4 linked regions of the Arabidopsis thaliana genome follow. The protein of the gene in region 4 purifies or fractionates together with the protein of the main gene of each other region. This does not show direct contact. Each region holds a gene or a part of one and is shown on either strand. Other genes may lie near its edges.

Evidence for each region.
Region 1: the proteins of AT3G60750 (region 4) and AT2G35040 fractionate together in Arabidopsis thaliana (co-fractionation; one large-scale study listed by BioGRID). This does not show direct contact.
Region 2: the proteins of AT3G60750 (region 4) and PDE345 fractionate together in Arabidopsis thaliana (co-fractionation; one large-scale study listed by BioGRID). This does not show direct contact.
Region 3: the proteins of AT3G60750 (region 4) and AT3G23940 fractionate together in Arabidopsis thaliana (co-fractionation; one large-scale study listed by BioGRID). This does not show direct contact.

The regions. Positions count from the first base shown.
Region 1 is NC_003071.7:14,764,629-14,770,108, reverse strand, and holds AT2G35040 (AICARFT/IMPCHase bienzyme family protein), read left to right. Parts: upstream 1-1,790; 5' UTR 1,791-1,839; coding exon 1,840-1,947; intron 1,948-2,021; exon of another isoform or gene 2,022-2,040; coding exon 2,041-2,140; intron 2,141-2,237; coding exon 2,238-2,313; intron 2,314-2,416; coding exon 2,417-2,513; intron 2,514-2,669; coding exon 2,670-2,772; intron 2,773-2,879; coding exon 2,880-3,013; intron 3,014-3,109; coding exon 3,110-3,287; intron 3,288-3,372; coding exon 3,373-3,530; intron 3,531-3,660; coding exon 3,661-3,870; intron 3,871-3,940; coding exon 3,941-4,288; intron 4,289-4,377; coding exon 4,378-4,504; intron 4,505-4,610; coding exon 4,611-4,762; 3' UTR 4,763-4,964; downstream 4,965-5,480. Other genes in the region: AT2G35050 (kinase superfamily with octicosapeptide/Phox/Bem1p domain-containing protein), read right to left, coding at 1-401; URED (urease accessory protein D), read left to right, coding at 5,064-5,162, 5,248-5,313, 5,399-5,473.
Region 2 is NC_003071.7:94,201-98,757, reverse strand, and holds PDE345 (Aldolase superfamily protein), read left to right. Parts: upstream 1-1,894; 5' UTR 1,895-2,266; coding exon 2,267-2,422; intron 2,423-2,534; coding exon 2,535-2,804; intron 2,805-2,899; coding exon 2,900-3,009; intron 3,010-3,112; coding exon 3,113-3,752; 3' UTR 3,753-4,031; downstream 4,032-4,557. Other genes in the region: AT2G01130 (DEA(D/H)-box RNA helicase family protein), read left to right, coding at 4,123-4,263, 4,411-4,557. UniProt on the Arabidopsis thaliana protein: Plays a key role in glycolysis and gluconeogenesis.
Region 3 is NC_003074.8:8,646,912-8,653,125, forward strand, and holds AT3G23940 (dehydratase family), read left to right. Parts: upstream 1-1,757; 5' UTR 1,758-1,868; coding exon 1,869-2,396; intron 2,397-2,494; coding exon 2,495-2,566; intron 2,567-2,666; coding exon 2,667-2,714; intron 2,715-2,887; coding exon 2,888-3,042; intron 3,043-3,211; coding exon 3,212-3,406; intron 3,407-3,483; coding exon 3,484-3,595; intron 3,596-3,679; coding exon 3,680-3,749; intron 3,750-3,835; coding exon 3,836-3,894; intron 3,895-4,002; coding exon 4,003-4,126; intron 4,127-4,220; coding exon 4,221-4,291; intron 4,292-4,370; coding exon 4,371-4,472; intron 4,473-4,683; coding exon 4,684-4,764; intron 4,765-5,106; coding exon 5,107-5,265; intron 5,266-5,361; coding exon 5,362-5,412; 3' UTR 5,413-5,694; downstream 5,695-6,214. Other genes in the region: AT3G23930 (troponin T, skeletal protein), read left to right, coding at 117-507, 581-864; AT3G23950 (F-box family protein), read right to left, coding at 5,997-6,214. UniProt on the Arabidopsis thaliana protein: Functions in the biosynthesis of branched-chain amino acids.
Region 4 is NC_003074.8:22,451,915-22,457,977, forward strand, and holds AT3G60750 (Transketolase), read left to right. Parts: upstream 1-1,753; 5' UTR 1,754-2,089; coding exon 2,090-2,572; intron 2,573-2,723; coding exon 2,724-2,814; intron 2,815-2,917; coding exon 2,918-3,023; intron 3,024-3,111; coding exon 3,112-3,394; intron 3,395-3,475; coding exon 3,476-3,624; intron 3,625-3,710; coding exon 3,711-3,864; intron 3,865-3,950; coding exon 3,951-4,910; 3' UTR 4,911-5,544; downstream 5,545-6,063. Other genes in the region: TTN1 (ARM repeat superfamily protein), read right to left, coding at 1-92, 292-394, 550-1,097, 1,196-1,411. UniProt on the Arabidopsis thaliana protein: Catalyzes the reversible transfer of a two-carbon ketol group from fructose-6-phosphate or sedoheptulose-7-phosphate to glyceraldehyde-3-phosphate to yield xylulose-5-phosphate and erythrose-4-phosphate or ribose-5-phosphate, respectively.

The sequences.
Region 1 (5,480 bases), on a different chromosome or scaffold from region 4:
GAAGGGGGTTTCCTCTCGTGCTCAAAGCTCTGACGTTTTTCTTCTATGTTAAGCACTGTAGCGTTAGGGCCACTCTCTGACATTGGATGAACCATTCCCAGAGCACTTAAGTTAACAGAAACAGGCATACCACTGTGCTCACCATACACATTTGGGATGAACTGCGGTTTCATAATAACCCTATCTCTCATAAACTCAAAAGCAAATTCTTCACCGGTCTGTATTGAGTAGTTTAGCACTGGCCGAGCAGGGGTTGAAACACCATAATCTGGAGGTCGTACATAAGTGTTAACATTAGTTGAAGAGTCGTGGGAAAACCTTTGATTAATGGAGCCAAGTCCCTCATCTCTAGGGTCAGGGGCAGTATACCGAACATGTTCATAACCTTTTGCTTGATCCATGTTTTCTTTCTCAAGGTGTCTATCTATCTAGTTCATAAGCTCCCTCACAAACGCTTGTAGGCGACATATCATGATCATGACCCAAGTAAAATCTTTGCATAAGCATCCTTCGCAAATTTCTAACGTTTTGGCTGCAGAACAGGACGACTTCTATCATGAACAACTCAAACTCTCATTGAGGTGCCTGAAATAGGAGAAGAGTAACTTTACTCAAGTAGTCAAACATATTCAAGAACAAAAAAACCAAAATAGCATACGGCTAAAACTCAGAAAACCATACTATTTAAGGAACATTTTCGGTATACAAACCAATAAAACTCTTTACTCTAGCAGGGACAGATCATCCAGTACAAATATCTGACTGTGCATACTTTCCAACATGAAACTAGCTAAAATGACTACTTTCTAGTCTCTTCAAGTTTAAACTAACAGGAATCGCTGAAACTAAAATCGATCAACTTCACCAAACTATTAGCAAACCCATCGTAACTTTGAGAGAGTGTAAATCAACAGATCAAAACATAGAACTAAATCCAAAATTCAATCAAGTCCGTGAAACAATTCCAAACCTCAAAAAGGAAACAAATAAGCGTCATTTCGAACCAAAAACTGAGCTAAAAACCTCTACCCAACCAAAAAACAAAAGCCGATCAAGCCATCAAAACCACTGAAACTCTAGAAAATGCAAGATCTGAGTATCATTACCCGAAATTCAGGTGGAAACACATCGGATCCAGAGATTTTCGATAATAATGATCAAAATTCAAAAACAGCATACACCTAAAAGGAAGACGAGTAAGCAAAGAAGGAGAGAAGTAGAGAAAAAGGTTTATACCAGGAAAGGCGGCACCAGAGACTGTGAAGCGTCCTCGGTTTGACGATCGATGAGTAGGAGAAGAAGCCAAGTCCTTCCTTAAAATCTCTCTTCTAATTTTGACAATTCGAAAAACAAAACTATATTCTCGAGAAAAAAACTATTATGCCTACCAATAAAATAATTGTTATCTACTTACATTATTTAAAATTCTGAAAAGCAAATAAAATATCATATAAAACATAAGAAGCTTTCGTCATCTCCATAGTTAGTCTTTTGTAATATTACCACTCTGATCCAATAAAGTTTTATTTCTTACTAATTAGTTTACACTTGAGAATTTTGGTTTCTACTAAATTTTTTAAAATTTGGAGTTAAAATAGTTTAGTTTTATTTTTGGGGGAAATAAAAAGAGAAGCTTTATTCCAATTTTCCAAATATTCCAGGTGTAATCTAACTGTCAAGGCCATAATAATAAATACATAATTCCACCTGACGCCAATAATAAATTACATATTTTCCTTTTTTTTTTATTTTTTTTTCTAATTTATTTCCAAAATTAGCCGCAAAATCACAAAACCTAACAGAGCTCAACACTACACACTGTTTCAAAATCAGACTACTATGCTCAGCTCAGCCGCCACCGCCACCTCCGTGAGTGCTCGCTCCGGCGATATTCTCTGCGGCTTGTTTCGCAAAAAATCCGTCGCGCCTTTTCGTTTTACTCAGCCTGTGAGTTCTCCTCTGTGTGTGGACGTGTTCCTTTGTGTCTTTGTTTCATGTTCTGCTAAACTTTTTAATATTAGTGGAATTTTCAATGAGCAGGTCTATCGTACGTCGCTGTGTCCAAGTTTCGTTGCTGTTCGAGCCATGGCAGAGTCTCAGACTGCTCAGAGGAATCAGCCGCAATCCTCAGGCTCCTCTGGTTTACAATTTTTCTTTTTGCTGCAATTTCAAATTCAGTGATCGATTTTCAGTTACGTTTTAGTGATTTTCAAATAATCGGGCTTTAATTGAATCAGGGGAGAAGCAAGCTTTGATATCTCTATCTGACAAGAGGGACTTGGCTTCTCTTGGCAACGGTCTGCAAGAATTGGGGTATGTGTTCTTCACAACTCTCTCTTACTTAGAACTATACAAATTTTGGTTTTGTTTCTATCTTATATGTAAATGATTCCTTTTTTCATTGATATTTGTGTAGATACACTATTGTTTCTACTGGAGGAACTGCCTCTACTTTGGAGAATGCTGGAGTCTCTGTGACCAAAGTGGAGAAGCTTACTCATTTTCCAGAAATGGCATGTTTTTCTTTTCTCTTATGCTCGCTGCTCTTGCTAAAAGTTTTGGTCTTGTGATCTCGCTGATATTTATATTTAAGTTTTGGTTTATACCATTGTTTTGTTGAGTTTAGTATATTAAACTTAGCTCTCCTTTTTTTTTTTCTTCTCTTAAAGCTTGATGGCCGTGTGAAAACTTTGCATCCAAACATACATGGTGGTATCCTCGCTAGAAGGGATGTGGAGCATCATATGGAAGCTCTTAATGAGCATGGGATTGGTGAGTTTTGACCTTTGATTGATCCTCTACATTAAGCTTGAGACTAAGTCATTTATAGTGTCTCCTTATGTTTAACTGTACCTTTTTTTTTTTTAATTCTATGACAGGTACATTTGATGTTGTGGTTGTCAATTTGTACCCGTTCTATGAAAAAGTTACTGCTCCAGGTGGGATCAGTTTTGAGGATGGGATTGAGAACATTGACATTGGTGGCCCTGCTATGATTAGAGCAGCTGCTAAGGTAATACATATATCTGTGCATATGAGACTTTTTCTTTACACTTGCAAGATTATTTTCAAGATTATAAATGTATATTTTCTATTGTTTTTTCAACAGAACCACAAAGACGTTCTCATTGTTGTCGATTCAGGAGATTATCAAGCTGTTTTGGAGTATCTCAAAGGAGGACAGAGCGACCAACAATTCCGCAGAAAACTTGCGTGGAAGGCCTTTCAGCATGTTGCTGCATATGATTCTGCGGTTTCAGAATGGCTATGGAAGCAGACTGAAGGAAGTATGTGATTGTTTTTATGTGATCCTCCTTACACTAGTTATGGCAATTGGCAACTTACATTGATTGATATTCATGTCTTTCTCAGAAGAGAAGTTCCCTCCCAGCTTTACAGTTCCGCTTGTACTTAAGAGTTCTCTTCGTTACGGTGAAAATCCTCATCAAAAAGCTGCATTTTATGTTGATAAGAGCCTTGCTGAAGTGAATGCCGGTGGTATCGCAACAGCGATTCAGCATCATGGAAAGGTAAGAAAGTATGCTACTTTTTCTGTCCGGTGTAATTTACAGAGCAAATAGTTTTAAACTGCCATTTATATCCTTATCCTCGCTTTCAAGCCTTATTATGTTTAACTTTTCTATTTATTTCTGTGAGCAGGAAATGTCATACAACAACTATCTTGATGCTGACGCTGCATGGAACTGTGTGTCGGAATTTGAAAACCCAACATGTGTAGTCGTGAAGCATACAAATCCTTGTGGTGTGGCCTCTCGTGATGATATTCTTGAGGCTTACCGGCTAGCTGTAAAAGCTGACCCAGTTAGTGCCTTTGGTGGCATTGTAGCTTTCAATGTTGAAGTTGACGAGGTAATCAAAAGTCAAACTACTGTTGTCCCATACATTATTCAATTGTTTAGTGATCTGTAACTGTCTCTAGGTTCTTGCGAGGGAGATCCGAGAGTTCAGGAGCCCAACAGACGGGGAAACTAGAATGTTTTATGAAATCGTGGTTGCTCCAAAGTATACTGCTAAAGGTCTTGAAGTCCTCAAAGGGAAATCAAAAACTTTGAGGATCCTCGAAGCTAAAAAGAATGACCAAGGGAAACTATCGCTCAGACAGGTTGGTGGCGGCTGGTTGGCTCAGGACTCGGACGATTTAACTCCAGAAGACATCAGCTTCAATTCTGTCTCAGACAAAACTCCGACTGAAAGCGAACTTGCGGATGCAAAATTTGCCTGGCTCTGCGTTAAGCATGTCAAGAGCAATGCCATTGTGATAGCAAAGGTTGGATTTTCCTCTCTGATTCCTTTTCTTGTTTCTCTTTCTGTACTTGTTTGCTAGTAGTTTATTCTGATTCTTGGGTTGGCTCATAGAACAATTGTATGCTGGGGATGGGAAGCGGACAGCCAAACCGAGTAGAGAGTCTGAGAATAGCTTTCAAGAAAGCTGGGGAGGAAGCTAAAGGAGCTGCCTTGGCCAGTGACGCATTCTTCCCATTCGGTATATATATTTTTCTCTCCGAAACCATTCTTCTGTCTGAAATGACTCATCAATCAACAAATGTTAGCCGTTCTGAATTGGAAATTTGTTGTTGTGTGAATTGCAGCTTGGAAAGATGCGGTGGAAGAGGCGTGCCAGATGGGAATAGGAGTGATAGCAGAACCTGGAGGCAGTATTAGAGACCAAGACGCTATTGATTGCTGCAAAAAGTATGGAGTCTCTCTGCTCTTCACCAACGTTAGACATTTCCGCCATTAAGGACACATCCCTCCAGTTTTGCTCTTATAAACACATCCAAGAGAGTTTCTGAAGAAGAAAACCCACCAAACAAAACACAAAGAGTGGGAAATAAAACTGTTGTAACATTAATTTGGATTGCGTTCGAGTTTATGTATGATTAGAACCTGAGAGCTGTTCCTACTTATAAATTTGACATTTTTCACCCAAAATCATATCTTTCTCTACATCCAGAAACTGATGAGATTTGCATATAAAATATTCAACATTTCTACTCAAACTGGAGTGAGAAAGTCGACGACAGTGTGGAGAGAGATCAGAGATGGCGACAGGGAAAGTGGTGGTGGAGAAAGTGGGAGGAAGATCTACAGCTACGAGCTGCTTCTCGAAGTATCCTCTCAAGTTCTTACTTCCTAGCAAGGTCTCCTCTCTCTCTCTACGTAGAGTTCACAGTTTCGAATTTTCAATCTTTAGTTATTAAAGTTCCGGCGACACTGAACTTTCAGGCAGCTCCTGCTGGAACTGACGTTGTCTGGATTTACAGTATCACTTATGGTGGCGGCATTGTCTCTGTATTTCCCTATTTCTCTGTCTCTTTATTAATGAATTTGCCATCGATGCGCTTGAATCAATCTAGTTCTTGTTCAAATTATGTAGGGCGATTCGATTTCATGTGAATTCACAATTGGTGATGGATGCACTGCAGTTATTACAACGCAGTCTTCTACTAAGGTTGAAT
Region 2 (4,557 bases), on a different chromosome or scaffold from region 4:
AGTTCTAGCTTTGATACCAACTGAAGTAGCGGAAGTTTTAATGGATAGAACTAGACATCCGTTGATTCCTCGGAATACCAGAAAACTAGAATTTTTTGGATCTGTTGATTCCTCAGAATAACAGAAACGAGAGAACGTAAGGAATTCGTTGATTCTCTTCGAATACCGAATCCTACATCTTTTTATAACCGTTGAAATCTTTCAAGATCTACCGAAAGCAAGGAATTAGAGAATACTCTTCTCTGAAAAGGTAAAAGCTTAATTTTATTAATCAATTAACTGAATACAATTTTAAGTTCAAAAGTCTTAATTATAATAAATCCAAAATTTTAGAAAATTCATAAAACAATAAATAAAAATTATCTAAATAATTAAATAAAAATATGAGGAAATAATAAAGACAATTTGAAATTATCCAAATATATACTGCATTAGGTAGCATGCGGCTTGCAAGACTATAGTATTTGTTTTAGAAACTATAGGTCTATTAGCTAGACAGAATTAAGAGCTATAGAAAAGTTGTTAAAATTGATAATGCGATGCTTTTTCACATAACTCAAGAAAACCAAATCAAGTTCCGATCCATCATTGTTTGTCGACCAAGGGATGATCAGTCGATAGGTCCACGTACGTTGTTGTTTAAATGAAAATAGTTAACATGGATGTAAATTTAATAAGTAAACAATGAAAATGACAAATGAAGTAGAGAAGATGGAGAAAACAGGACCAAGGGCTTGTAAAAGAATTGCCAAATAAACAACAACGTGGTCCTATCACCTTCTGCTTCTCCCTACGCACCAACCAGTCAACCATACTCAATAGGTTTCATTACAAGACAAATAACACACTCTCTTTTGTCTTTTCTCTTTTTTCGAATGGGAAACACTGACTAGCTTTGTTTGTATATTTAAATCGTTTCTAACAGAGAGAGCGTGGCGAAGTGTGAACACAAACACCTAGAAAGATCTGAGAGTCAATTCTTCTGGGTGACATATGCATGTGAACTGTATGAAGACGCGTTTTGGGGTTTATCGTTTAAAAATCATTAGATATGTGACTGACCAAAGTGTTAATCAAAGATCTGCACCAACACCTTTTACATATACTATATTCTAATACGTAGAGGCAGCGTAGAACACTCTAGAAGAAGTACTAGGTGAATTATGATCGATATGCCATTCATCTGAGAGCAGAGAATGGAACTTTACGCATGTTTAATTAAAACAACTTTCAAACTTGTCTTAAAATATGAAAATTACTAGTTCCTACTCTGATTAAGATAAGATTGGCATTATATTCATATTCTTGTACCTAATATATAATTGAAGCACTTGAACATATTTAGTCATATAGTCTTGAATTTTGTTGTTGTTTTTCCCTTTTTTTGTGGGGTCAAACTGAGTTGCTGTAAATTTGAACATACATATGAATATGCATTTAAATTGTGGCCAACAGTTTTAGAAAACTGTTATCAAATCAAAGATACTTTAAAAATACAAAAAAGTAGTGTAAGATACAAGAAAGAAAAAGTTGCCACTTTCTCATGTCGCATATATATAACGTTTCTCGGAACTTGCATTTTCTCTCTTCTTGTTTACACCTTCCTCGCCTGTTACGAGTAACACCAATATTTGGACTTATTGGATGGTTGCCTTAATAAAAAGGAAAAAAAAAAAGAAAAAGACCCAAGAACACCAAAGCTGTCGTGGGCTCTTATTGTTTATCTGAAACTAAGCCCTATTACTATTGGGCCCAAAAATCAATTACGTAAAAGAGTTTGCCTGTTATATAAGTTGTTTACTATTGTGGCCCAACAGATAAAAAAGGGAATATCCGGCCCATTCTCTTTCATCACACTCCTTGAAGAGGTGATAGGTCATGTAATTTGATTAATTAAGAAAAACGATTGAGTTAGACGAAGAGGCAATGGTAGGAGAAGGATAGTTTGGGTAGACGAAACGGTAGAGTTTTGGTTATTCTCAGATTCTTGTTGTTGAGAGACTGATGAACTACTAGAAAAAATTACCAGTATCTCCCTCAAGGTTAAAAGCGTCATTTACGGTAAATTGGGGAATAAAATGGTAAAGAGAAGGAGGCTTTTTGGTGGTGGGAGTAGGTGATGCCAAAGTAGACGACTACTAATAGTAGTAAACAAAACCTTTGGCTTTAACACTCTCCTCCAAATCCCAGATCTCTCTCTGTCTCTGTCCCGCGGAGTCCCCGAGAGATTGATCACCATCACTTTTGTACCTTCCTTGTACTACCTATGGCGTCTGCTAGCTTCGTTAAGCCTAACACCCTCTCTTCTCCATGGATCGGCCAACGCTCCTTTGCTCACACCTCTGCTTCTTCTTCTCCTCCTCCTCGAGTCTCCTTCGCGATCCGCGCCGGTGCTTACTCCGACGAGCTTGTTAAAACCGCCGTGAGTATCCTCCTTATCCTCTCTCTCTCTTTGATGCTTTATTAGTTTGGATTCGTTTCCGTAATTCTCAAAGTCAAACGTAGAGTGAGATTCTCTGATTATTGCGTAATAGAAAAGCATTGCATCCCCTGGGAGAGGTATCTTGGCGATCGATGAGTCCAATGCAACCTGTGGGAAGAGGCTTGCTTCTATCGGCTTGGATAACACCGAGGACAACCGTCAGGCCTACAGGCAACTTCTGCTTACCACTCCTGGCCTCGGCGATTACATCTCTGGTTCCATTCTCTTCGAGGAGACTCTTTACCAGTCCACCAAGGACGGTAAGACCTTTGTCGATTGCTTGCGCGATGCCAACATCGTCCCTGGCATCAAAGTTGACAAGGTATTTTTTATCCATTTATTCTGTCATCATCATCATAAGTAGTTGAGTTTTTATGTGTGTTGAGTGAAGTGTTGACAATGCAATCCACCGCGTAGGGCTTGTCTCCCCTAGCCGGTTCCAACGAAGAGTCTTGGTGCCAAGGCTTGGATGGATTGGCCTCACGCTCTGCTGAGTACTACAAGCAAGGCGCTCGTTTTGCCAAGTGGTATGTCATATATTTCACCATGTTATCTTACATATGGTATTAACTCTTTGGTTTGATGTGAAAATGCTCTTCCTAGTTTTGATGTTTGTGTGTGTTTGTCTAGGAGGACAGTGGTGAGTGTTCCCTGCGGTCCTTCAGCACTGGCTGTGAAGGAAGCTGCGTGGGGGCTGGCTCGCTATGCAGCCATCTCTCAGGATAATGGTCTTGTCCCCATTGTGGAGCCAGAGATCCTTCTGGACGGGGACCACCCAATAGAGAGGACTCTGGAGGTGGCAGAGAAAGTGTGGTCAGAGGTGTTCTTCTACTTGGCACAGAACAACGTCATGTTTGAGGGCATTCTGTTGAAGCCGAGCATGGTCACCCCAGGCGCTGAGCACAAGAACAAGGCCTCTCCCGAGACCGTTGCAGATTTCACGCTCACCATGCTGAAAAGGAGGGTTCCTCCGGCTGTCCCAGGGATCATGTTTCTGTCAGGAGGACAATCAGAGGCAGAGGCCACACTGAACCTGAACGCCATGAACCAGAGCCCAAACCCATGGCATGTGTCCTTCTCATACGCACGTGCCCTGCAGAACTCCGTGCTCAGAACATGGCAAGGCAAGCCGGAGAAGATTGAGGCCTCGCAGAAGGCACTGTTGGTGAGGGCAAAGGCCAACTCACTGGCCCAGCTCGGCAAATACTCAGCCGAGGGAGAGAACGAGGATGCCAAGAAAGGAATGTTTGTCAAGGGTTACACCTACTGATTTGTTAATTTCAGAGATCGTAATAAGGATTAAGGACCATTGTTGTCTTTTGTTTTTTTTTCCCTTTTTTGTTTTGTCTCTGAGAAAGAAAGACAGTCACGAGTCACGATCATATCATATATGTATGTGAGCAACGTGAAAACATCCTCTTAAATCTATATTTCCTCTCAGAAAGACTGATTACTGTTTGACTGCAAAACCAAATTGTGTAATTCTTCTTTTAAGTTTACAAAATTTTTGGAGGGCGATTAGGTAAAATTGGCATAGTTGCAAGTTCAGTGTTAGAAGAAGCAGCGGAGATCTCTCTCCCTCTTTATAGTTTACTTTTGACTTACAGTAGAGAGAGTTTAGAGTTTTGAATTTGGCTCCGATGACGAATCGTCTTCCTCCTTCGCTGTACGTTCCGCCTCACCAGCGCCTTGGTTCCGATTACGGCTTCAATCCTGTTCCTCTCTCTCCAGTTCGCTATGTCTCCGCTTATGATGACCGCGTTTCCGAGGATCGCCAACCGGTTAACTTCTTCTTCATCTTTTTTTCATGCATCTCTGAGCTTTTTGATTGATGCTCTTACAATGGCGATTCTAGTTTTCGATTTGCTCTCGAGTAGCATTTTATAAAAATCCCTTTATCTTTCTACTGGAACCATATCAATTTGCAGCAGGAGGGTACCTTTCACTGTGCCGACTTGGATGATTGGAATAAGAGATTTTCAATGCTTTTGAAAGATTCTTTAAAGCAAGAAGTTATTTCCAGGGAGAAAAAAGATAGACGGGATTTTGATAAACTTGCTGCTCTGGCTACAACC
Region 3 (6,214 bases), about 14 Mb from region 4:
ATCATAAATAAAACAAGAACACAGCTTTCAGAGAGATAGAGTGAGATTCTCCTTCATTAACATATTCTTCTTCATGTTATAAGAAGAAGAAGAAGAAGTGTCCAAAAGGATTAGAGATGGGTGGATGCACAAGCAAGCAAGAGAGGAGAGGTGTGAGAAGTGTGAAGGAGACATCAAAAGACCAAAGCAGAGGAAGAAGACACCTGATAAAAGAGAGAGATGAGAGAGAGAAAGTGATGTTTCTTCAGCTTAAAGAGGCGGAGAGAGAGTGGAGAAAAGAGAGGAAGAAGCTGAGAGAGGAAGTGAGAAGACTAAGGAAGAAGCTAGAGGAAAGAGAAGAAGCAAAGACAACAACAACAGAGGAAAGAGAGTATTGGAAGTGGGTGGTTGAGGAGATGTGTGTAGAGAGAGCAGTGAGAGATGAAGCCGTTGAGAAATGGAAACAACTCTATTTAGCTATCAAGAATGAGCTTGATCATCTCATCTCCCACACTACTTCTTCCTCCGGTAAAATAAACTCAACTTATTTCAACTTAAAATTAGAAAAAGTAAATAGGATCTTTAAAGTGTGTGTTTGTAGGAGAAGCAATCATGCAAAGGAAACTTGAGGAACAAGAAGAAGAAGAAACAGAAGCAAAGAGAGTTGAAGTATTGAGAGATGAAGTTAGAGTTAAAGAAGAGACAGTTGAGACACTTGAAGAGCAAATAGTTTTGATGGATAGACAAAAGTATGAGAAAGAAAGAGAGATTGACTTATTGAGACAGAGTCTAAGGATTCTTGGAAGCAAGAAGAAAAAGAAGACAGGATCATTCGCATCAATGAATCTGTTGATATTGAAGACCAAATGTGTCGAATGTACATAAACACTTTTTACTCAAATAGTCTTCTGCAAACAGTCATATCTCGTCAGAGAATCTTGATCCACAATGTCATATTTATTTCTCTTTTGGTTATTTTACAATTTTTATTTTGGAAATATAGTAAATCATAGCACTATGAGTTCAAAAAGCACATGTCCCATGAAAGATTTGCACAAATCGTTTTTTTTTTTTTTTGTTGGAGTTAGATACAATTCTTTAGCAATAATGATAATGAACCATTTTTCCAAAGAACAGAAACTGTGGAAAAAAACTTACTAGACACTAAAAGTCTAAAACACCACTTGCTTTTTTATAGCCCAAGAAACTTCTAGTTCTAATTAAGAATGTCCAACTTCCGGTTCGGTTACTGAAAATTATCAAATTTTTGTTAGATGAGATAAAGAAGTGAATCCTACAAGAAATATATCATGTGGTTCGGTTTGGTACAATTTTGATTTCTGCTAGGGTTTTATCCTTTTTAGCAAAATTTACTTTAATTTCCGTAGTAAAAAAGAAGAAGTTTTAGTTGGTTTATTTCTTATTTTTGCTTCGATTACGGCATTTAATTTTAGCAATATTTCATTAACAAAAAAAAACAATTCTAATTGGTTTATTTCTACTTCTTTTTCTGTCTTGGTTTGATCTCTATTACTATATTGATTATGAAAAAAATATGAAACCAAAACCATTTATTATGTCTTCAATTCCATTTTTAACCCAATTATTTCACTACAATTGTAATAACCGGTTATTGCACCCCTAATTATAACTATTTAAGCAATCGCATATACCAAACCAGCGAGTTAAACCAAATTGTTTCCCAAATTATGCTAAACGACAGCGTTTTCACAAATTACCAAAAAAACCTATTTTTCTGTATCTATCTGAATTCAGAGTCCTGACCATTTTATCTCACTCTCACAAAGTCTTCACTTTTGAAGTGTCTCCTCCACACGCACTGCGCCGCCAAAAAACCCTTCTTTAAACCCTTTCCTCCTCGCGCCGTCATGCAAGCCACCATCTTCTCTCCACGCGCCACTCTCTTCCCCTGTAAACCTCTCCTCCCTTCCCACAATGTCAACTCTCGCCGTCCCTCAATCATCTCCTGCTCCGCCCAATCCGTAACCGCTGATCCTTCACCACCTATCACTGACACCAATAAGCTCAACAAATACAGCTCAAGAATCACTGAACCCAAATCCCAAGGTGGGTCTCAAGCAATTCTTCACGGTGTTGGTTTATCAGACGACGATTTGCTAAAACCCCAGATTGGTATCTCGTCGGTTTGGTATGAAGGGAACACTTGTAACATGCATTTGCTGAAATTGTCTGAGGCTGTGAAAGAAGGAGTTGAAAATGCAGGAATGGTTGGGTTTAGGTTTAATACTATTGGTGTGAGTGATGCTATTTCGATGGGAACGAGAGGGATGTGTTTTAGTTTGCAATCTAGGGATTTGATTGCTGATAGTATTGAGACTGTTATGAGTGCTCAGTGGTATGATGGTAACATATCTATTCCCGGTTGTGATAAAAATGTGAGTTTTTTTTTTTTAATCATCGATCTTTGTGTTGTCTTTATCTCCATGTTTTATGTGATTTGTTTGCTATAATGTTATTGTTGTAATACTTTTAGATGCCTGGAACTATTATGGCTATGGGAAGGCTTAACAGACCAGGGATTATGGTTTATGGTGGAACCATTAAGGTACTTACTTTTATCAAATTGATGAGAAGATAGTTTCTTAAACCCTAAACCCTTGTGCCTAGTTGGATAGCCTATTCACCTTGCTTTGATATTATTGCAGCCTGGCCATTTTCAAGACAAGACATATGACATTGTATCTGCTTTCCAGGTATCTTTTCTTCTATCTGCTACGAGCTTGGTTATAACAATTTTAATGTGTATTTATGAGACTTCATTGAGTTTTCCAATTTTGGGATTGAGTTACAGAAATCTTGGTGACTTTGGTGTCAAATTGTACCAGTACTTGTGGGATTCATCATGTTTTCCAATTTTGTATTTCAGAGTTATGGAGAATTTGTTAGTGGCTCCATAAGTGATGAACAGAGAAAGACTGTCCTCCATCATTCATGTCCTGGAGCTGGAGCCTGTGGTGGCATGTACACAGCGAATACAATGGCTTCTGCTATCGAAGCAATGGGAATGTCCCTTCCTTACAGGTGAGGCTTTCAGTCCTGAAGACCACATTTATAAATCAACTTCAAACGTTTTCCCAGATTTGTGCTTAATAGAAAGTTATTTCCACAAGAACATTGTAGATCCTAAACTGTAATTGTGGAATGCTTATTTCAAAAGTTCATATATTTGCTTCTTCTTTTTTTTTTGAAGTTCTTCAATACCTGCTGAAGACCCATTGAAGTTGGACGAGTGTCGCTTAGCAGGAAAATATCTTCTAGAATTGCTAAAGATGGACTTAAAACCCCGTGACATTATCACTCCAAAATCACTTCGTAATGCAATGGTTTCCGTCATGGCCCTTGGGGGATCGACAAATGCAGTATTGCATCTAATTGCTATTGCAAGGTGACAGATTGTTATGATGTTTCTTATTATTACCATGGAAAGCAATGGACCGAAGTAATGAATGGAAATGATTTCAGGTCTGTTGGTTTGGAGTTGACTCTTGACGATTTTCAGAAAGTTAGCGATGCGGTTCCATTTCTAGCAGATCTTAAACCCAGTGGGAAGTATGTTATGGAGGATATACATAAGGTAAGGCTTTGGCGAAATCGTTTTGCTTATTACTTATCTGTTTTTTTATTGGTCAGTTTGTAAGTTTTGTTGTTTAATCTACAGATAGGTGGTACGCCAGCTGTTCTCCGCTATTTATTAGAGCTAGGATTGATGGATGGTGATTGTATGACAGGTAGAAATGCTCAAACATTTTATAAACTGACTTAGCAATTTGGATTGATGTGAAATGGCATAACTACGCTTTTGTATCTCTACCAGTGACAGGGCAGACTTTGGCTCAAAATTTAGAAAACGTCCCAAGCTTAACAGAAGGGCAGGTATTTGTAATGTTATTAGTTATCTCATTAGATTCTACCGCCTGTTTCTTCTTGATTATGATGGTTGTTAGTTATACAGGATTCTAATTAATTCTGATAATGTTCCAGGAGATAATTAGACCTCTGTCAAATCCAATCAAGGAGACTGGACACATACAAATTTTGAGAGGAGACCTTGCACCAGATGGTTCTGTAGCAAAAATTACCGGCAAAGAGGGCTTATATTTCTCTGGTAATGTTGGTTCACTCTAGTACCTCCTTTACACTCCATATTTAGCTAATGCTTCTGAATATTAGGGCTTATATGATGGAACTATTTATTTTAGGTCCTGCACTTGTATTTGAAGGAGAGGAATCTATGTTGGCTGCTATATCAGCAGACCCAATGAGTTTTAAGGTAATTTCCTTTCTGATATGAAGTTCATCTCAGGAGCTGGTTATATATCTTTTATCTGATGAAATGTATCGTGTTTCAGGGAACTGTGGTTGTTATCAGAGGAGAGGGGCCTAAAGGAGGTCCAGGTATGCCTGAGATGTTGACACCGACAAGTGCAATAATGGGTGCCGGTCTTGGAAAGGTATGATATGACCAGTATGACTGGGTTAGTGAGACATTTATTAAGTCTGATCAATTTTTATGTTCTAAATTAAAGAACTCGTTATTTTTCCTTTGATATGGTCTGACTATATTATGCTTATGGTAGTGACCTAAATCTTTTTATCTACTTTGTCCATATCCGAGAACACACCTTATATAAAGTGCCAATATGTTGCTATTGGGTGATGCAGGAATGTGCATTACTGACTGATGGTAGGTTCTCTGGTGGGTCACACGGTTTTGTTGTTGGCCACATTTGCCCTGAAGCTCAGGTCTCTCTCTCTCCCTTTTTTTTTTCTCTCTGCCCACTGGCTCCATCAGAGCAAAATTCTAAATTTTGCACTTGCAAGATAAATTTGATAGATCCATGTCCCTCTTCTGGGATATTTTTCTTGTGTATTGAAAAATAAATGCTACTGGGTCATAGTCATATATAGTTTTAGCAAAAAGGAACAAGGGTCAAGGGATCCTGTAATAGTTTGTGGTGGCTCTTATGCAGTTATGATGATTTTGGAATATTTCAAATAATAAAACTGATATTAATGTGATTGGAGAATGTGAAGATAATAATGCTGAAAGCAATTCTCCGGTGTGCTTACTATTTATCTGTGCAGGAGGGTGGTCCGATCGGTCTGATCAAGAACGGAGACATAATCACCATTGACATAGGAAAGAAGAGAATAGACACACAAGTCTCACCCGAAGAAATGAATGACCGTAGAAAGAAATGGACTGCTCCTGCATACAAGGTTAACCGCGGAGTCCTATATAAGGTACTATACGAATCCACTTGTATCTATATAATGTATGTCTCTTTGACATCTGATGGATTAGTTTCTAATGAATGGTTTATGATATTCTAAAAACAGTACATCAAGAACGTGCAATCGGCTTCAGATGGATGTGTGACTGACGAGTAAAGTGAACGATCTAAGAGAGAGTTTTGTGAATGAGCAGCAGAATGTAGTGTACGTTCATGAGGGAATTTGTAAGTTTATTTATTGTAGCTTCTAGATCATGTTACTTTGTGACTGATCATTAGCTATTTGCAGGGTTCGTTTTTAAGATTTTGTTTCTCTTAAATGTCAAAATAAAAACTTGTGATTGTGGCCGAATTCCAAAGAATATAAAGACAGAATAAAGACGGATTTGCATAAATACTTGTCTATGAGATTGAACTTAAGAGCCAATGTGGCAAACCAGCTATGCGTGAATAAGCTTGACGTTCTCTACATGGTTTAGAAAGATGTGAAATCCACTAACCTTAAAGGCTTGGGTTCCTTGGATTTCAAGTCTTTTCATCGTCTTTCTCTCGTTTCTGTAGGAGACAACATAAGGGTCATAAGAATAGTAAAACTCGAGCATGGTAATTAATATTTGATTCGACCAATTTATATCAAGGTGCAAGTATTTGTCTCAAAGGCTCGAGCATGACATCTCACAGAATTGTAAAATCATTCACATTTGAAATTTGATATCAAACTTAAAACAGAATCAATATAAACTAATTAGAAGGCTGTGGACGAGGGAGACGGGACAACCAACGAGGGAGAACATACTGTGAAGCGAGGAGAAGGTTAGGACCACCTTGAAACGATGGGGAAAAGTATCTATGAACGGTCTCCATATACTCGTTGCACCAGTTAAAGCTCAAGGTGCAACCATCCATACACTTCCTCTCGTCTTCGGATTCCTTGTGAAGACTAAACACATGCGTCCTCA
Region 4 (6,063 bases):
GAACTTTTAGCCGCCGCGTTTGATTTGCTTAGCACAGTCACATCATTCAAAACAATAGGAAGCACATCTAGCAACACTTTCCGGCTAGCAGTCTGCCAACATGAGTAGACATATTAGATCCAGATGCAAATTGGAACAGGTTAAGTAATAGAAACCAGTAATATTTCTACAAGATACAAAACAGATAAGTCAAATTGATTATGTACTTTACAGACATCTATATATGTTTGACGTGTTAAGTATGGACCAAAGTTAAAACAAAGAGAATTCCAGGTTACAAACAGAATAAACCTTAAAAATGGCAGATAGAGCTTCCATTACACCAAGCAAGCGAAAGTGGTTCGTGACACTATCTTCCTTACAAGACAAAACTTCATATGTCCACTCAAAAAAGCTGAAACGGAAATGCCACAATAGAATAAAGAAAATTAGTTAATCCATTCACGGTGAGTAAATTGTACATGTTACAATTGAAAACAGCAGTTTAGAAACAATCTTAAGTGTTCAAAGTGAAACAACACTGAAGCACTGATGGTGGTAGGAACAGACCTCGAAAAAGCTTTTCCCATATCCGGACGAGTTAAAAGCTTAGAGAGTAGCAACCCCGATATCCTGCGCATTGGTCCAGCACTGCACAGATAGTCCTTACAGAAACCTAATATCTTCAATACCAAAGGAGCAAGGTCATCCACACCAAAGGTCTTGTCATCAGCAATGCTTGTATCAACAGAAGAAATATCAAACGGAACCAACACAAGGATTGAAAGCCACAAAAGAGTAACACATTTGGCCTCCATTTCTCCAGTGCTTTCTTGCCTCAAGGCAGAAACAGAATTTGTACTATGGCACTTCTCGAGGAGCAAAACGGCGAGTTCCAGATCGGATACTTGATGCGGAAAGAACTTGATAACAGCTTTGTACCCACATACAGTAACTAAAGCATAGATAATGATGCTTATTGGCTTAATAATCTCAAGAATTTCATCAGGTTTGGCCTCTAAATCAACTGTTTTGGAGCGGATGATAAACATTAATGGAGAAACTATACTCTCTAAGTAAGGTTCCACTAATTGACCTTGCTCCTGGTATTTATCCATCTACAATACAACAAAACAAAGTCGGAGAAAGTAAATCAACATGATACTGAAACATGGGTTGGATCAAGTAGATGAAGTCAAAAGACTAAGAAGCGTACAATGGATCGGATCTTATGAACAGAAGTAGGATCAACAACACGGCCATTTGAAACAATATCATCGAGAAGAGATTTAACGAGCTTCCATTCTTGTAAAAAATACCTCTGTAGAACTCTCTCCTTAGAATCATGCTCATCGTCTTCTTCCTCTTCAATTTTTACCGCCGTTTCGATTTCGATCTTCGTCGGCGACATTTCCTCTGCTCTAGATGCCATTACTGGAAAGAGAAAGGGGTTCAATAAATTCCCGCCCGCCGATAATACTCTCAGTGTAGAACCACCGGCAAATCACGAGATCGGTGACGTCGACGATGAGTTTACATGTTAAGGCCCATAGTAATTTATTGGGCCTATATACCCATGTTCCTATTTTGGGCCTATAACCTTCCTCAATGTAGCTTCGTTGGTCTAGATTTTCCATCTTTGGGTGCTTTTATAAACCGGCTTAACCAGAGTTGGTAGGCTTGATACTTGAATCTCTTTCTGGTTTTGTATATTCAAGAATAAGCAAACATTTCCTTAAAAATAACTTTTTTTTTGTCGTACCTCATTTTAAAAAAGATATTTTATCCTATTTCATTATGGCGGAATATCCAAAGAACAAAAAATGGTAGTAATAAAAATAGCGAAAGGCATAGAGGATCACTAAACTCTTAGCCTTAATCAGCGGTCAAGATTATACCTTTTAGTGAGATCCAACGGTCATATTTGATCCAAGTTGTCCCTTAGTGAAAACGAAGAGATGGCGAAATTTTGTTTGATTGGCTAAAAATCAACACACTGATAAAATAAGAGTTGCAGAGAGAGTCTCTCATCTTCTTCATTTCTTCACCACCATCATCACACACCTTCTTCTTCTTCTTCTTCTCTCTCTATCACAAGAGAGTCAAATCCATGGCTTCTACTTCTTCCCTCGCTCTCTCTCAAGCTCTCCTAGCTCGTGCAATCTCTCACCATGGTTCTGACCAACGTGGATCTTTACCAGCTTTCTCTGGACTCAAATCCACCGGTTCACGCGCCTCAGCTTCGTCTCGTCGACGTATCGCTCAATCCATGACCAAAAACCGATCTCTCCGTCCTCTTGTTCGCGCTGCAGCTGTTGAGACTGTTGAGCCAACCACTGATTCGTCGATTGTGGACAAATCGGTCAACTCGATTAGGTTTTTGGCTATCGATGCGGTGGAGAAGGCCAAATCAGGTCATCCTGGTCTTCCTATGGGTTGTGCTCCGATGGCTCACATTTTGTATGATGAGGTCATGAGGTATAACCCCAAGAACCCTTATTGGTTCAACCGTGACCGATTCGTTCTATCTGCTGGACATGGATGTATGTTGCTCTACGCGTTGCTTCATCTTGCCGGCTACGACAGCGTCCAGGTCTGTGATCTCTTCTCTGTTTAATTGCTTTCGATCTGATCGTAATTGATGAATGTAGTAACTTTAGTGGATAGATTGAATCTGTTTTGATATTCATCTGATGGCTGCTTGAAGTAGATTCACTGAAAAGGTGTTTGGATTTGTTTATTAGGAGGAAGATTTGAAGCAGTTCCGTCAATGGGGAAGCAAGACACCAGGACATCCTGAGAATTTCGAGACTCCTGGAATTGAAGTCACTACTGGTTTGAGATTTTGCTTCTTTTGGCTTATGGTTCATGTGAAATTTCACAGAAACTATCTATAACTGTATTTACAATTGTGCTCTCTGCTTTGGCTGCTATGCAGGTCCTCTTGGACAAGGAATCGCTAATGCTGTTGGTTTAGCTCTTGCTGAGAAGCATTTGGCTGCTAGATTCAACAAACCTGATGCTGAAGTAGTCGACCACTACACGTAATATATATAACCCATAGTTATGTTGTCGTTCTTGGTTTGTATATAGCTCTGATAATAGAAATACTGTTTTTGATTGATTGTCTAGATATGCGATCCTTGGAGATGGTTGTCAGATGGAGGGTATTTCTAATGAAGCTTGCTCTCTAGCTGGCCATTGGGGACTTGGAAAGCTCATTGCTTTCTACGATGACAATCACATTTCTATAGATGGAGACACAGAAATTGCCTTCACTGAGAACGTGGACCAGCGATTTGAAGCCCTTGGATGGCATGTTATCTGGGTGAAGAATGGAAACACTGGGTATGACGAGATCCGTGCTGCCATTAAGGAAGCTAAAACTGTTACTGACAAGCCTACTTTGATCAAGGTAACTACACAATTTCTTAACCATCAAACATCGGTTGGTCTAAAGACCTTTGATATTGATTTACCATATTGCGTAATCCAGGTCACTACTACCATTGGTTATGGGTCTCCCAACAAGGCGAACTCATACAGTGTCCATGGAGCTGCACTTGGCGAGAAGGAAGTTGAGGCTACCAGAAATAACCTTGGATGGCCGTATGAGCCGTTCCAGGTACCTGACGATGTAAAAAGGTTAGTAAATCCAAAGCAGGCTTATGTTTGGTTTTATTGCTTTGAAGTTGCCTTGATGACTTACTGTTTGACTTGCACTTCTCTAGCCACTGGAGTCGTCATACACCTGAAGGAGCTACTCTTGAATCTGACTGGAGTGCAAAGTTTGCAGCATATGAAAAGAAGTACCCAGAGGAAGCTTCTGAGTTGAAATCTATTATCACTGGTGAATTACCTGCTGGCTGGGAGAAGGCTCTACCTGTAAGTAGAACTCTCTTTGCATTCTGTACAATTCAATTGGTATTCTAGATATGAGTTATAGAACATCTTTCTTTTTCCTTTTTTAGACATACACACCAGAGTCTCCAGGTGATGCCACCAGAAACCTGTCACAGCAATGTCTTAACGCCCTTGCTAAAGTTGTTCCCGGTTTCCTTGGTGGAAGTGCTGACCTTGCATCATCCAACATGACATTGCTGAAAGCCTTTGGCGACTTCCAAAAGGCCACACCTGAAGAAAGAAATCTTAGGTTTGGTGTTAGGGAGCACGGAATGGGAGCCATCTGCAATGGCATTGCCCTTCACAGCCCCGGTCTTATCCCTTACTGTGCGACGTTCTTTGTCTTCACCGACTACATGAGAGGTGCCATGAGAATCTCAGCTTTGTCTGAAGCTGGTGTTATCTATGTTATGACCCATGATTCCATTGGTCTTGGAGAAGATGGACCAACCCATCAGCCCATTGAGCACATTGCAAGTTTCCGTGCTATGCCCAACACTCTTATGTTCCGTCCTGCTGATGGAAATGAAACAGCCGGTGCATACAAGATCGCTGTCACCAAGCGCAAGACACCATCTATCTTAGCTCTGTCTAGGCAAAAGCTGCCTCATCTTCCAGGTACATCCATCGAAGGAGTGGAAAAGGGTGGATATACAATTTCTGACGACTCTTCAGGCAACAAACCCGATGTGATCTTGATTGGAACTGGTTCTGAGCTAGAGATTGCTGCACAGGCTGCGGAGGTGCTCAGGAAAGACGGCAAAACCGTTAGAGTTGTTTCTTTCGTGTGCTGGGAACTATTTGACGAGCAATCAGATGAATACAAGGAGAGTGTGTTGCCATCGGATGTATCAGCTAGAGTTAGCATTGAAGCAGCTTCGACTTTCGGATGGGGAAAGATTGTTGGAGGCAAAGGAAAGTCCATTGGTATTAATTCATTCGGAGCCAGCGCACCAGCACCCTTACTCTACAAGGAGTTTGGTATCACCGTTGAAGCTGTTGTTGATGCGGCCAAGTCATTCTTCTAAGAGATTTAAGATCGGACCATTCTCTCTGAGGGGGTTTTGTCTGAAACTTGATTTGGAAACAAGGCTATTCACAACATTGTCTCATATCTCGAAATAAAGTGCAACAAGACACAAAGACTTTCACTTTCTTTTTTGTTTTTGTTTTTTGTACTTCAGGTCAAGATAGGTTTTCGGTTTGAGAAGAGAAACAAATTAGAAAGACAATGTAAAACTCCCATGATCATTCGTGTAATGCTAAATGCTTGAATTTCAGCAAAACTTTCTAGCATTTGTTTCTTGGGGTGTAGACTAAATTACCTACATAAGCAGACATAAGCATTGGGTGGACAAGAGAAAACAGGGTTTGGTTCTTCTTTAAGGTATATCTACATTTGGGGGCCCTATTTATCCATATTGAAGGAATGGTGAAGTTTCTACCTTGAGATATCCAAATATCCATATCTCTGGGGGTTTTATCTGAAACTTGATCTGGAAACAAGGCTATTCACAAGAGTGTCTTATATCTCAAAATAAAGTACAACAAGACGCAAAGACTTTCACCTTTTTTTTTTGTTTATTGTAATTTGGGTCAACTAAGGTTTTGGCCTTTTGGGTTTGAGAAGAGAAACGATTTAGAAAGACAATGTAAAACTCCCACTATCATTCGTGTAATGTTAAATGCTTGAATTTCAGCAAACTTCCTAGCAATTGTTTCTTTGGTGTAGACTAAAATGACCTACATAAACAGAGATACGCATTGGGTGGACAAGAGAAATTAGGGTTTGGTTCTTCTTAAGGTACGTTTACGTATATCTACATTTAGGGTCCATAATTATCATAAGAGGAGATATTGAAGGAATGGTCATGTTTCTTCTACCTTGGCATATCCAAATATCCATGTACTAAGCCTAACAACTAACAAGAGATGAAGAAAGCTACGCTTGTCACTCGTCAATTTGTCATTACTCATCACTCATCAGTGACGACAACACAAGTAGGACCCACTACTTGTTGGCATCCCAACATTATAGTATGCTTCAACAGTAAAGAGTATATTCAGATTCCCTTTTTGTTCCGATAGTTAATGGGCTATAGGCCCAGTAAAGCACAATACTGTCCAATGGAATTAAACTCTAGGCCTAGTTAATGACACTAATTTGTAGCTCCCATGCAC